Drosophila melanogaster: one gene and its partner. The protein of the gene in region 1 interacts with the protein of each later gene in a pairwise test. Each region holds a gene or a part of one and is shown on either strand. Other genes may lie near its edges.

The links.
Region 2: the proteins of CG9133 (region 1) and sprt interact in a two-hybrid assay, tested with the Drosophila melanogaster proteins (one large-scale study listed by BioGRID).

The regions. Positions count from the first base shown.
Region 1 is NT_037436.4:1,249,775-1,257,404, forward strand, and holds CG9133 (uncharacterized protein), read left to right. Parts: upstream 1-2,237; 5' UTR 2,238-2,392; coding exon of another isoform or gene 2,393-3,458; intron 3,459-3,529; coding exon of another isoform or gene 3,530-3,949; intron 3,950-4,078; exon of another isoform or gene 4,079-4,219; intron 4,220-4,301; coding exon of another isoform or gene 4,302-4,369; 5' UTR 4,370-4,450; coding exon 4,451-4,550; exon of another isoform or gene 4,551-4,592; coding exon of another isoform or gene 4,593-4,623; coding exon 4,624-5,270; intron 5,271-5,713; coding exon 5,714-5,965; 3' UTR 5,966-6,212; downstream 6,213-7,630. Other genes in the region: Sac1 phosphatase, read left to right, coding at 1-295; Bfc (booster for Crq), read left to right, coding at 1,103-1,858; CG9130 (uncharacterized protein), read left to right, coding at 2,393-3,458, 3,530-3,949, 4,302-4,369; tfc (triforce), read left to right, coding at 7,388-7,586.
Region 2 is NT_033778.4:11,393,661-11,399,781, reverse strand, and holds the start of sprt (sprite), read left to right. Parts: upstream 1-2,349; 5' UTR 2,350-2,888; intron 2,889-5,357; exon of another isoform or gene 5,358-5,429; intron 5,430-6,121.

The DNA of each region.
Region 1 (7,630 bases):
CGATCTTTTCCTTGGAAAGTATCTGGTCAACGACAACGAGGGCGGTGCCGTGCCATCGCCGCTGGAGTCGAAGCATGGCTGGCGGTTCTTCACCTTCCCCTCGGTGCTGCTTGTGGCTGTGGCCATGTTCATGATCACGATGACCTATCCGGCCGAGTTTAACACGGAGAACCTGCTGTTCATGCTCTTCTGGGGCGCAATGATCGCTGTCAGTGCCACGGGCATCCTGCACTACGGCGTCGAGTTCGTGCAGTGGCCGCGGCTTTTTCCGCCCATCTCCTTTCGAGACCCATGACGTTAGTGTCGTCTAGCAGAGTCACTGGGAACTACCTCTGCAGCTAAACTGTCCCATTGCTCCGAGAAAGAACAATTGTAAACCAATTCTGTAATCGATTCGACTTCCTCTCAATTTCTGTTTTGTTTTATTCTGTTTTTGTTTAGTCTTAAAGCCCCCCCCAGTCCATTCCCTTCTGCAACTTGTTAGTCATTATATACACAGATCACTTACACTTAGGCGAGCTTCAGGCGGCTGGAAAAGGGGAATGATTGGGGTTTCGATCGGGAAGAAGTGGAGTTGTGAAGGCGCCGCTTATTAACTGCGATTAACTGCAATGTAGATCAATCACTTTTGTAGAACCATTTAATGACATTAAATAAAGTATTTTACGCATTGCTAGAAAACCTCAGACCGGCGTCTTTCTATCTACTTGTGGAGGTGAAATGTAATTAATGATATGGGTATATGGCGTTTATGACAACCATAAAAGATGGCCAGTAAAGGTTAAGAGTACAGGTTACCCAGAGGGTGTTAATCATATAAAGAATGTCATTGTTGATATTTTAGTAGGAATGCAGAGCTCTTAGCTTTTTATTTATATATTTTGAATCGTAGGCAGGCCTTTTACATTCAGTCGCATAGATCCATTTCGAAAATCAGTCTTTCCTTTTCGGCACGTCGTCAAAATCTGAATTCAAAATTCAACATATTTATTTTTCGTCAAAATTAGGTTTCAGTGACTGAAAATTTCTAAAAACGTTTTCAACACATAACAAATTCTTTGGTATAGTAATTTTGTCAAATTTCTAGTTTTTAAGCTTTTATATGAGAATGGACAAGTCGGAGAAACGCTCTAATCTTGCTGATAACTTCCTGTATATGTTGGAGTTCATGGTGGACGATCTGCTGATCACTCGTCCCAACCTCTGCGCTCCGGAGGAGTATCCCACTTGCACGGAGATCACGTTCCGTTCGGTTTTCCTGAACATCCGCGATCGGGAGAACGGAAGCTGTGTCAACCCCTGTTCGCCCAAGTGCGGCAAGTGCACCCTCTTCACGCTGGAATCGCCGATCACGGACGAGGACGTGATGCACATTCACGTTTACAAGAAGCGCACGGAGAGCTGCAAGTTCCTGCTCGGGCTGACCGAGCTGCCGATGAAGCCGATCTTCGATAGGGTGAAGAAGGAGTTCTATTCACAGAACATAAACTGGGAGAGTAACGTCGAGTCCCATTTGTCGCGAATGCCCAAGCTGAGGGGCCCCTGCAAGAAGGCCAATGACTGTGTGTGCTACGAGAGGAATAGGGAGCGGCGCGAACAGTGGTGTCCCACCTCAGAGCTGACCAAGCGGATGCTGCCGCTCTTCAACCTCTGCAAAATGCAGACGGGCAATATAGTGCTGATCCTGAGACTGGTGTGCAATGGGCCCTCTGTGGTATCCTCCTTCCCCGTCCAGAGACCAGTGTGCAAGGATCCCTGCAACTGTTGCTGTCCTTGCCCGCCCACTTGGCCTGCTCCCTGTTCGTCGCCATTCGATCCCTGCGATCCTTGCAAGACCGTGCCAGCCAAGAAGACATGAGTAGGAAATGCAGCTGCGAGCCTTTATATTCCGTACTCATTTAGTTGCCATAAGCATTTTTATTGTTTGACAAGGGATGCGCCTAGCAACTGATAATCATTCGCATATCTTAACTATAAATAAAGTATTTGAATAATTTTTATACCAATTCTGGTGTTTCAGTGACTTGAGGAGGCTATTGTCCATTATAATATAATTTAATATTAAAATTTATATATATGTTAGAAATAAGACCTTACTAGGCATTTTAGGCGTAATAAAATCTACATACAGACAGACTCATCTGCCTAAAAGACAATCTTAATATCGAAAATCAAGGAATCAAGTTTTCAAAATTCATCCGATTCCAGTAGCCCTCGCAAATCCAGTCGGTTTAGCAGTTCGAACACCACAGTCTCCCCGTCTGGACGGCCATTCAAAATCAGAATCTAAATTCAAATTTACTCACAAAATTTTTGGAAGTGCGAGTGTTCGGGCATATAAATTTCTAGTTTCGACAAAACAAAAGCCTAGCCAAAATTATTTCCTTTGAAAATGGACAAGTCTGATAAAACTGAGAAAACTGAGAAATCCGATAAGTCTGAGAAGCCAGAGAAACCTCCCAAGATTGCAGGAAACTTCCTCTACATGTTCGAGTTCGTAGTGGACGATCTGCTGATCACACGCCAGAATCTTTGCGCTCCGGAGGAGTATCCAACCTGCACAGAGATCACGTTCCGCTCGTCGGTTTACGTGAATCTCTGCGATCGGGAGGTGGGCACGTGTGTTAACCCCTGTTCGCCCAAGTGCGGCAAGTGCGCCCTCTTCACTCTGGACTCCCCCATTACGGACAAGGATGTGCTGCAGGTGCATGTCTATAAGAAGCGCACGGAGAGCTGCAAGTTCCTGATAGGACTGTCGGAGCTAAAGGTGAAGCCCATCTTCGACAGGGTGAAGGAGTCCTTTGACATCGAGAATCCTGACTGGGAAGACGCCATGCTGGGGCACATCGCCCAGCTGCCCAAGATGAAGGGTCCCACCAGCAAGGGCCTCCTGGACAACTGTGCCTGCTACGAGAAGCTGAACGAACGTCACGAGCAGTGGTGTCCCACATCGGAGTTGTCCAAGCGACTGCTGCCCCTCTTCAATCTCTGCAAGATGCAGACTGGCAACATAGTGCTGATCCTTAGATTGGTGTGCAATGGTCCGACCATTGTGTCCACGTTCCCCTTCAGCAAGGTCTGCTCCCGCAATCCCAAGTGCCCGGAGCCCTGCTGCGGTCCTTGTGGCCCCTGTGGTCCCTGCGGCCCCTGCCCACCACCTCCCAGCTGCGGCTCGTGCCCACCGCCTCCTAGCTGTGGCCCACCATGTCCTCCACCCTGCGACCCCTGCGATCCGTGCGATCCCTGCAGTCCCTGCTGTGGCGGCGGAACTGCCACCGGCGGGCCCATGGATAAGAAGGGCTGCAAGGGCTCGTGTGCCCAGCCTCCTTGTCGTCGCTGTACAATGGTGGATCCTTGTGCCAAGCGAGTTGAGCCTCCGGCAAAGTGCCTCAGGTACTACTCGTGCAATCTGGACAAGCTCTGTCCCTGTGACTACTGCGAGGACGAGTTCGATAGAGGTGACTATAATCTATCATCAGCATATATAAATGCTTCCTTTTAATGATGTAATGTATATACTTCTTCCCAGAATGCCCCACTGTTCCCACAAAGCGTTGCAATCTCTCGCCGATCGAACAAAAGCTGCAGAAATGCGGTCCCTGCGGCGGAATTCCACCGTACCCACGCTTCATCCAGGAGAAGATGCAGGCCGAGCTCTTGAACAAACCGGAAAAGGATCCCAAGAAGGACAAGGATGGCAAAAAGGGTGGCAAGGATGGAAAGGACGCAAAGGATGGAAAGGGTGGCAAGGACGACAAGGGCAAGAAGAAGCGTCAGGCTGGAGGTGCTGTTTGCCGCGTAGGAGACGAGAATAGTCCGTCCGCCGTCTACGAAGACTGCGATCCTGTCTGCGCAGGAGTCCTCCAGGCGACCAAGAAAATTCGGTACAAGGAGCCCACTGTCAGGTGCAACGGACGGGAGGAGGAGTACGAAATGGCCTGTGATGAAGGTGAGCTCATATATGTATGTATTTAGAAAACGATTTCAACTGGGATTTCGAGAATGCCAAGTAGGCTTCGAAATGAACAACAACACAAACGTCTCGTAACTCCAGCGAAACATTTAGTAACATCTAGTAGTCGGGGTGTAGAAGATCACTCGTTTAGCATTTGTTTTATACATTCGAACGGGAAATGTTGTCTGCCGCACAAAATACAGAAAAATAAAATCTTTCGTTGTTGTTACCCGAGTTTTGGATGGAAATTAAAACAGAGAATCAGTACGTCCGAACTATTTTTTTTCCTATCAAGTTAAAAAATTTTCGAAGCGATCCACTAACCCAAATTCAATTTTCATTTCAGCGCGAAAACGAGCTGTGCGGAAATTGCGCCACTTACTGGTGAAGTACAATATCCAAATTGAGAATTGAAGGCTTTCGGAATTGAGATTTCAGCTTGAGCCTAGTGAATAATTGTATTGACTTACACACTCAATCACTCAACCGCACAACATGGCCAAGAAGAGGGGAAGAAAGGGCAAGAAGGGCAAGAAGCCAAAGGTCGACTGCAAGTTCAAGATCACCAATGAGATGCTCAAGCCCATGAACGAGAGTAAGTACACGCGGATCCCTGCACCGAAGCTCGGGCTTAAGGATGATTCATCCCTTCCAATTGGTATCCTCAGATGTGGACGACTGTGATGGCTGCTGTCAGTGCGCCTGCGATTGCGACTGCAGTCCGGAGTTGGCTCCCTGCTTCATCCAGCCGACCAAGCCGGATCCGGGTCCGGAGGCGTACGACGAGTTCGAGGCCTGCCTCAATGGCAGCGGTCTGACCATACGCGTACTCAAGAACACCCACAAGGTGGAGAGCGTGATGGATGGCAGCGAGACTGCGCCCAATCTGGGCGCAGGCGATGATCCCTGCTATCGCGATGACCCCAATGACTGCGAGCCCGCAAAGGAGTCCTGCCTGCACGATATGCTCCAGCGCAGCTCCTTCGCTCGCAACCACATCAAGCGCCGGACCGGCGGCCGCATCATCAACCACCCGAACATCCCCAAGGTGCGAGCCAATATCAAGTACTCTGGGAACGATGCCTGCGAGACCGACAACTACTACGTGCCCTTCTCGAAGATCAAGGAGGCCTGCGACTTCCAGGAGGCCAAGGTCGACTGCTACCGCCAGCGACTCTGCGGCGGATCCGATCCCATCGTGCCCGCGCACTGTCCCGTCCAGAACCAGCGATCATGTTGCATGCAGGTCGAGCGGAAGGACATCATGGACACCATGAAGGGTGTCAATTTGGACACAAGGCGCAAGGGTATCGAGGTGAGTCCATCCTATATTCATTTGCGCAGCACTGAGTGGCCTAAGGAAATCCATATTTCAAGAATGTTCGATCTTAAATCATTAACCACAATCGCCGATCGCCTCCGCATTCCATTTTTTAAGTTCGCCAGTTACGTGTGCGGATGCGGAATGTGGATCGATTGGTAGTCCGTGACTTTGCCCCCCTAAACGTTGTTGCAGGTGGTGCAACTATGCCACTTCTGCCACTTCGGGAAGGCTTTCGATTGCCTCAATTGTGGGGCAGTTGCGTAACATCTGCCAGCTCCAAGTGTGGAGCACTCTTTTCAGTTTGCGGTGGCAATCCGCTACAGCTTTTTTATTTATGGTAATTTCTGCGAAAGATGCAACGCGTTGCATTGAGACTATTTTGGTTAGCTGTTGCATAGTATCTAAAAAGATTTGTCGCTTTTCTTATTTTTCAGGTTTGCTACAAGACCTGCGAGGAGACCGACAGCGACGTGTTCCTAGTAAAACTGGGAAGTAAGGCCAAGTCGCAGCACAAGAAGAATACCATCGAGATCGAGCTGCGGACGCCCAAGCAGCCCGTAACCCTTCCGATCAGCAAGGTGACCACGGAGACCTATGTTTCCGAGGAGATGCTAACCGGTGGCAAGAAGGGGAAGAAGGGCAAGAAGGGCAAGGGCAAGAAGGGCAAGGGCAAGAAGAAGAAGTAGACCAAGAGATCCGTAGGCGGATCCCATTCCCATCGACCGGACTTGACGCTTACCCTTTCGGAACACATCCTTTGGCATTTTGGAAGCGACTCTTTGAAAATTCACAGCAGCAATTATTGAAATTTGGCTCTGGTACTAACCCATTCATATTAACCCGTCCAGTAAGATGCACGAACACTCACTTTTTCGACTAGTTACGTAAATGTATGCTTTTGATTGAATTAAAATTAAGAAAAAAAAAAACAATAATTCTAGTCCCATTTATGATTAGTTGATCTGATCCCTCACTGATTGATCTGATGTAGATACCCTAACCCGCAGTAATCTGCTTGCAAGTGTATATGCCCATCTTCATTAAGGGCACTTAACTGCCCAGTCAAGGCCGCGGAGGTGTTTCATCTGCAATTGAGGCGGGTCTAAAAATAGCCGACAAAACCAATTCGCGATGCAGAACTCTGATGCCGATCCGATCCGATCCGACCATCTTCATCTATTGCACACCTGTAATTAAAAGCCAGAAATCTTCGCGGGAGGGAGCATCGAGGAGGAGGAAAAGCCGCCGTTGGATGCAGCGGCAGCTTAGCGGTTTGGTCACTTTGCAGTGACTATACTATACGGAGAGGGAGAGATCCGAGAGACCAGAGATCGCAGATCGGGCCAGCTGACCGATCCGATCGGTGGCTCGGAGAGGAGTCGAGCGAGGAACTCGTTTTAGTCGCGTTCAAACGCTTTAGTCTGTAAGTTAACACGGCGAGTGCGAACGCAGGAAAGAGTCGAGAAATCGTGAAGCAGTGCCCCAGCCTAGATGTTAACCATTCAGCGGATCGGCCCCGAATGTGAGCAACTTCTGAGATCGGTCCACGACAGACCACAAAACCAGTGAGGAGAGACCATCCGCTCCAGTTCGCTCGATCCAATTCAATTTCTGCCTCTCGCCGCGAAAGCGGAAAGAAAGTGAATTGAGTGGAGTAGATTTGGGCGATTACTTAATCCGCGTTCGCCTCCACGACCAGGCATCGGACGAACACCGGGCTCCCAGTCCGAATTCGAGGGCGCAAATTAATGGCCCTCGTTTAGAGACTCAACCCGCCCCATCCAGCGTTGACAGTTGGGCGGAGAAAAGCATAGTATTTGAATATTAAAAACTAAATCCGAGAGATACCACAACATTTCCCCAAAACTTTGATAATTTAGAAAGCGAAGCTGCATACCAAATAGGCCCCCGATCTAGAGACACCCGAAAGTCCAACCTCCGACGGTCAGTTGGCTTTCAGTTCCAGCTCGAGATCGCAGGTTATAGCATACCACAGCCGACTGGCTTTCCCCGGTTTTCGGTTACGTGCATCCGAGAGGTCTCCGCCAAGTGCAGTTGCAACTTTTACTGGTGTCTAAGATTCGCGTGAAGAGTGCAAATCGGTGATCATGATCCGCCCCACACTTATCGTAGTGCTCATCTCACTGGCCAGTGTCGATTCCGGCCACAACTCACCCGTGACCACCATCCCGGTGGCCGAGCCCATCAGCCAGGTGCCCCACGGCTTCCAACTCGGCCAAAACAATCACATCAGCAGCAGCAGCAACATTAGCCGGAGTGGAGGCGGAAATGGCCGTGATAAGAGAGGTAAGTACTTGGCCCCTTTGAGCCACTTTTCCAAGTGCCCCCAT
Region 2 (6,121 bases), on another chromosome or scaffold:
TCACAGGAGGCATCCAACTGCCCCCAGGTTGCCCTGGGGTTGCGTGGGAGTTACACTTTTTTGGAAGCTCTGTGAACTGTGAAAATAATACAAATATTAATATTTTAAGGGAATTTATAGATATGAAGTCCAGGTCGAAGTTCAGCTTAAAATCAATTGATTTACATATCTTTGATTTAAATGTCTTTAACGCACACAGTAATAACTGCGTGGAATGTCAATTTTAAACCATTGAGGCCAACCTATAAGATAAATATCTGCCATTTTATGCTCATGTGATATTAAGTCCATCTCTAAGATACACAATTTTTAGTTAGTGCTCTATTATTATGTAAAGCCATAATAAAAGTACCTCACAGGGAACTATGTTTTAATGGGGTTGCGTGATAGTAACCCTTAGTTTAAACATTCTTGTTCTTCTTGTAAAATTCTTCATTTCCCTGCGCAATGTGCACACTAAATTAGCCTGTTGCCCTAAATCGAGAGCACCTGTCACCTGTGCAAGGACTTTTGGGCGTTCCAAAAACGCGATCAAGTTCCGCTCCCATTGGTTTTTAGCTGGTGAGACAATTTATGTCGTCTCGCGATCTTGGAAATGCTCCATGGACACGCACACCTTTAAGGAAACATGAAAAAATGAGGATCGGCAGTGGAAAGTGAGTCCAGGTAGCGCAACGCAATGTTTTCTTTATGATGGCATAAATACGGTTTTAATTGAGGTTGCAAGCGGCTACTTGTTCGGTCATTGAAATCTCATCCACTTGGCATAAATTACGAAACAGGACTCTCCCTCGGTTTTTTCCATTTTTCAAGTGCCACAAAATGTTCGAGTTTATAATGTTTGGCCTGGCCTTTGGCCCCGACCTCATCCTCAATTCAAGAGCCGATCCCAAATCCCGATTCAATCTTATTCTCGGAAAAGCGAGGGAAACCCAAAGCAAGTTTAGTTTTTCCAGCCACTTGCGGTCTTCGTTTCTTTTTTTTTCGGTTGTGTCGTTGTTTATTTTGTTCGGGATGAAAAACCATAAAAAGTGGTTTCGCGTAACTGACAGCGTCAAGTGATTTTCCTTTGTTTTTCTTTTCGGAGAGGAAGTGTTTCTATTTCTTTCGTTTTTATTATTCGACAGGCAACAAATATCTCTTCGATTCTCCGCATTCTCGATCTTTTGTCTTGGTGCGCTGAAGAAACGAAAGACTGAAGTCACAAACGTGTATGGAAATGAGCAGTCATCCGCTTTCAGATTTGGTAATAGACTCGGTCTAACGGTAAAGCACATTTCACTCGCAAGATTTGATTTATAGCCAGTGGCCCTGCCTCACATTAGCTAATCGAAACGATATCAGCCCGCAGAAAGTTTCGCAATTAGGCGGGCAGAGGGTTAAAATATGACGCACTTAAAGCGCACGAGAGGCGCATGCGTAATCCTTTTTTCCTGTTTTAATTTTTGTTTAATTTTGATTTATGCCCGCTCTTGAATTTCGGCTTTGTTGTGTATCTATTTTTGGGCTGCATTTAATGAAGGGAAATACAATCAACGCCATCAACCCCTACGCATGCGCATTTTACCCTCGGCACATGGCAAAGGGTTTTTTTCGGGATTGTTGTGATCATTTTAATTGACTTTGCGCACGAGCGAACTCATCGGACCGAAGCGCCTAAGATAAAGGGCAGATAGAGGGCACTATATAAAACCGAGTGCCATATGTCGATGACGCCGATCTCGGTGATGCAACTGCATCAGCAGGCAAATGAGCAGTTTAAGATACGCGCTGCATCGTAAAATCTCAGATGCAGCGGCAGCTGTCAAAATAGCCAAAGACACCCACCGAAAAGTCGAGGGAGTGGAGTTCAATGCACTGGAACTCTATTACCACTACCCATCTTACCCATTACGATCACAGCGCCTCGGTCGCACCAACTATAACCCAATAAATCCAAATCCAGGGACCAGTGCACTTCGCAAGTACTCGCTCTACAGAACCGCTCTCTCACTCACTCACCCACCACCAGTTCAACACACCTAGCTCCTTTTGAGCTAAAAATGGATATACATATATATGATTATGATAATTCTAAACCATTCTTCGAGTTAGAAATTTAAAATTGTAGAACTTTTTACTAAGCCACCTAATCATATTTCAAATTAGATATCTATCTCAATTCTTTTACGCACAATTTCATATTTGTCTATTTTTTCACAGACCTTTTCAGCTATTTAGCTTTTCTTTATAAGCAAATCCATACAACACCGACAAAAAAACAGAGAGGGTGCAGTGGTGAGAGCCGGTGAGTGAGAAGCCGAGAGAGCGGCTTCATGTAATGCCCGTTTGCCGCTAAAGTCACGATGTTCAGACTTCATCCAATCGTCGACGCGATCGGTTGTGCTCGCACTCTCCGTGTAATCCGAACCCGATTTTGTGATTAGCCCTCCGCTGCGCCTGCGTGAATTCGTGGACCTTCTTCAATCAACCTGAACCTACGTGAATTTGTGCGTTTTGTTTACTTGTTTACTTGGCCCATTTGAAAGCAAATTTCCTGCATCCTGCATAAACAGAGGAAACGCACAGCGGAAATAGTATGAGTTATTAAGTCGCTGCAAACGGAAATAATTAACAAAAAAAAAATAAAACTAAATGTGCCGATCGCGTTTTAGCAACGGTTTCGATGCGGTTTCAAACACAATCGGTTTAAGCATTGACATCATTGATTTATGTCCCAAGTGTAAATAATTCGCACAATACAATACACCAAATTGAGGCTTCCCTCCCTCCACCAAATCAAACAAATCAAATGCAATGAAATGAAATGTTGCCATTAATTTGCGCACATTGCCATTGTTCAGAGTTATTGGTTGACTTTTAACTGGGATCCGTACTACTTTAAGCTGGTAAGTAGTTTTCATCGCCCATAACAATGGCAACAAATGAAGAGCGAAAATCACTTGCGAAAAGCGAAAGGTTAAGCAGCGTTCAATTGTTGCATTCTAAAATACAGTGCGGCCTCTTTAGAGCAAACGGGGTCGTCGCAGACAAAACAATAATGATGATGGGGCAATTTATCTCTTCAGAAGGCCGCTCCTCATCTTTACTTGGAATTTGTCTTGCATAATCCCCTTGAAAAACAATTCTGATATCTGAATATGGAGGAACTTTCGAACTGTTGTATAACTCTTTCCTATCATAACAAAAGCGGCAGGGATAATTGAAGGCTCCGAAATAAATTAGTTAGCCGACCGTCTATTAAAACGCGATTTGGTTTGTTGATGAGGCGCAGATAAGGCAGTAAATAGCATGGTTTTTTGCTCATTATGCCACAATCAAGTTCAATGTCTCGTCATAGAATACAGAAAAATTAGGTTCAAATTTCTAATAGAATTCCTCAAAGCAGCCACAATCAATCAGTCAAAAATGACTCGATCTCTAACCGACCGACCATACATATAATTACGTCTGAGAATTTTGCGGTTGAATCACAATCTACGATTCTAATACGTTCTACAGACCCCTTTCGAATCGTGGCTCAAATGCAGTGGCAGGTTCTGTTGGTTCGGCTGGTATCTCGGTCTGAACATCACCCATCTCGCTTTTGTCATTAATTTTAATTAGATATTTCCTTTTGGGAGTCACTGGCTGCATTTGAATAACAATTGAACGCCCTCTAAGACGAAATGTATTCTCCGCTTCCATTTCTTCATTGAAATGCCAAACCCTTTATCGGCAGGATGTCTTTGGGGTCTCTAGAGTGTCATTTACATATTCTTCGGATTCTTTTGGCCGTTCGTCTGTGACTTTTGTCTGTTTCTCGATTTTTTTCAATGCTAACAACCTAATCAGAGTTTGTTTTTCGGGTATTTGTTGGATATGGTAATTTTCGAATGACTGTATTTTATTTTTTATGTGGGCTTCATGTCGTGATTTCTCGCCCATGTGTGGACTGAGGTGCATCAACGCATTTATGCTGACTTTTGTTTCGTCTTCTTCGTCCATTAAGTGGGAATAGAAAGCCGAGATTTGGCTAGATAACTTTGCATACATCGTCGACCTGTGATTGTTGACTATTCGGGGTAACTGTTTCGGTTGCGGTTTTCACTTTCATTCAAAGAGGCGCTGTAACAATTAAAACGAGAGCTGCAAATCTCTTCATCTTCTCAAAATAAACCAAGGCAAAACTATCCGCATCGATTTCGCTTTCGTTTTGATCGTATTTCCGATCATTTGACCAGGGCAATTTGCACTTTCTTATAGCGCCTAATCGCAGGCCGACTTTCTAGAATTGATTTGCATAAGTGATTTGTCCAGTGCGGAGACTTTCGCGACCCCAATCTGCATCTCGGTCTAAAGACAGCTGACGTTCTAACTGTGAACGATAAATACACACTGTGTAGAAAAATATGCCCGAGACTAATTGCCCAGTGAAAATGATGGGCAATTATCAGCTGAAATGGCAACAGCTGCACAGCAAACAGCCCGTACAGTGATCACTCCGCAAACAAACAATGGAAATCTATATATTTTGGTGGTGAACTTGGGGTCAATTCCATGACCGTATGCCGTATGGGTCGAAACAAGTTTCTTAACCTAATTATCTGAGCCGCTTCGTAATATATATTTAAAATCGAGCAGATTTTGTACATTCTTTCTTATCAAACTTATGTTCAAATGATGGAAATATAAAGCTGCAAATCAATTTATTAAAAAAGAGAACAAAGCGGTTGCCCCCGTCTATGATATAATAAAAAGTTTATTAGAACTGCTTGCCAAATAAACAAACCAACGACCTTTTCTACAGAAGTCTCTCAAAGTAGAAAGACAAAAAGAAAGATATAAACCCCAAAACAAAGAAATTTACATATTTATGTCAAGTCCATTAAGCATATTCTTGGCCAGTTGTGGGGCCATCTTAGCCCGGTCTGGTCCATTGAGTTGGCCATGTAGTGAGCAGCCTCCGGGGCGATTAAAATTATCAATGTCGGGGCTGCGCTTGTGACACTTGTGCACACATAATAATGCCCGACAAGTCAGGCCAATTGTCAAGCTGGGCTAATTTGTGAGCAGCCGCAGTGTGTTAGTGCCAAGAGAAATATTTCAGCTCGTAAATAACTCGAACAGACAAGCTGCAGGTGTTGGGAAACTACAAACTAAGCAGGGTTAAGGTTTATAGGAAAACCACGTTGTTCGTAAATAACAAAAACAAAACTTATTTGGTGGCAAGCCCGGGGGGCAAATATTTATTCATAAAGGTAATTATAACGCCAAAACGTTAGTGAAACTGAATTAAGTTAATTTTGATAATTGTTTCAACCTTGTAGGAAATATTCAAATATGAAAATAAAAATAAAAACATGATTTCGTACAAATGCCTCCTGTGAGGATTGAACTCACGACCCCTGGTTTACAAGACCAGTGCTCTGCCACTGAGCTAAAGAGGCTCTGTTGAAACGCTGGCCAAAGCGCAATAGGCATAACCGCAGTCAGAACGCTTCTAACAGCTGGAAAAGTTAACAGCGTCCGTATCTGCTAGTTCTAACAGCGCACAAGCCGTTGGCTTTTTCCATTTGCATTAAAGCAGGCGTAACAGCCAGAGCTTCGAATCAAGTTATTACGCGTATATATAAACAAATATATATATATTAGAACCAGGTGTCATCTCCATTTAAGTAATTGAGCAAAATATTTTTGCATTGTTCCAACAAATTGTGGGCGCGCACTGAGCTCATCTCGCAACAATTTTGTAGGCGCGCTTGAAAGAGAATTAATAGTTAGCAAGTAACAGCAGAGGAGCGGGGCTGGTAACGCCCCCTCCGTGAGATAGACAGAAATTTGATTTGATTTTCAAGCTATTGAATTTACATAAAATCCAGCATTCGCTGTGTGGGCAGAAGATATTTAGCATACGCGCAGCAAACTATCGACATCCGAACGGAATGCATTTGATATATGGCTAACTGAAGATCCGAGATCGAGATCTCTGCTGATTGGAATTTATAGCAAGCGAAATCCCGGTTTGAATTCAAGTTAAGTCCCCTGATCCCGCGGGACCTTGGTGACATCAATATCATTCGCTGTCAAAGAGAAATGATCAAATGCTGAATAAACTTGTCACCATTTCGCTGCTTTTTGG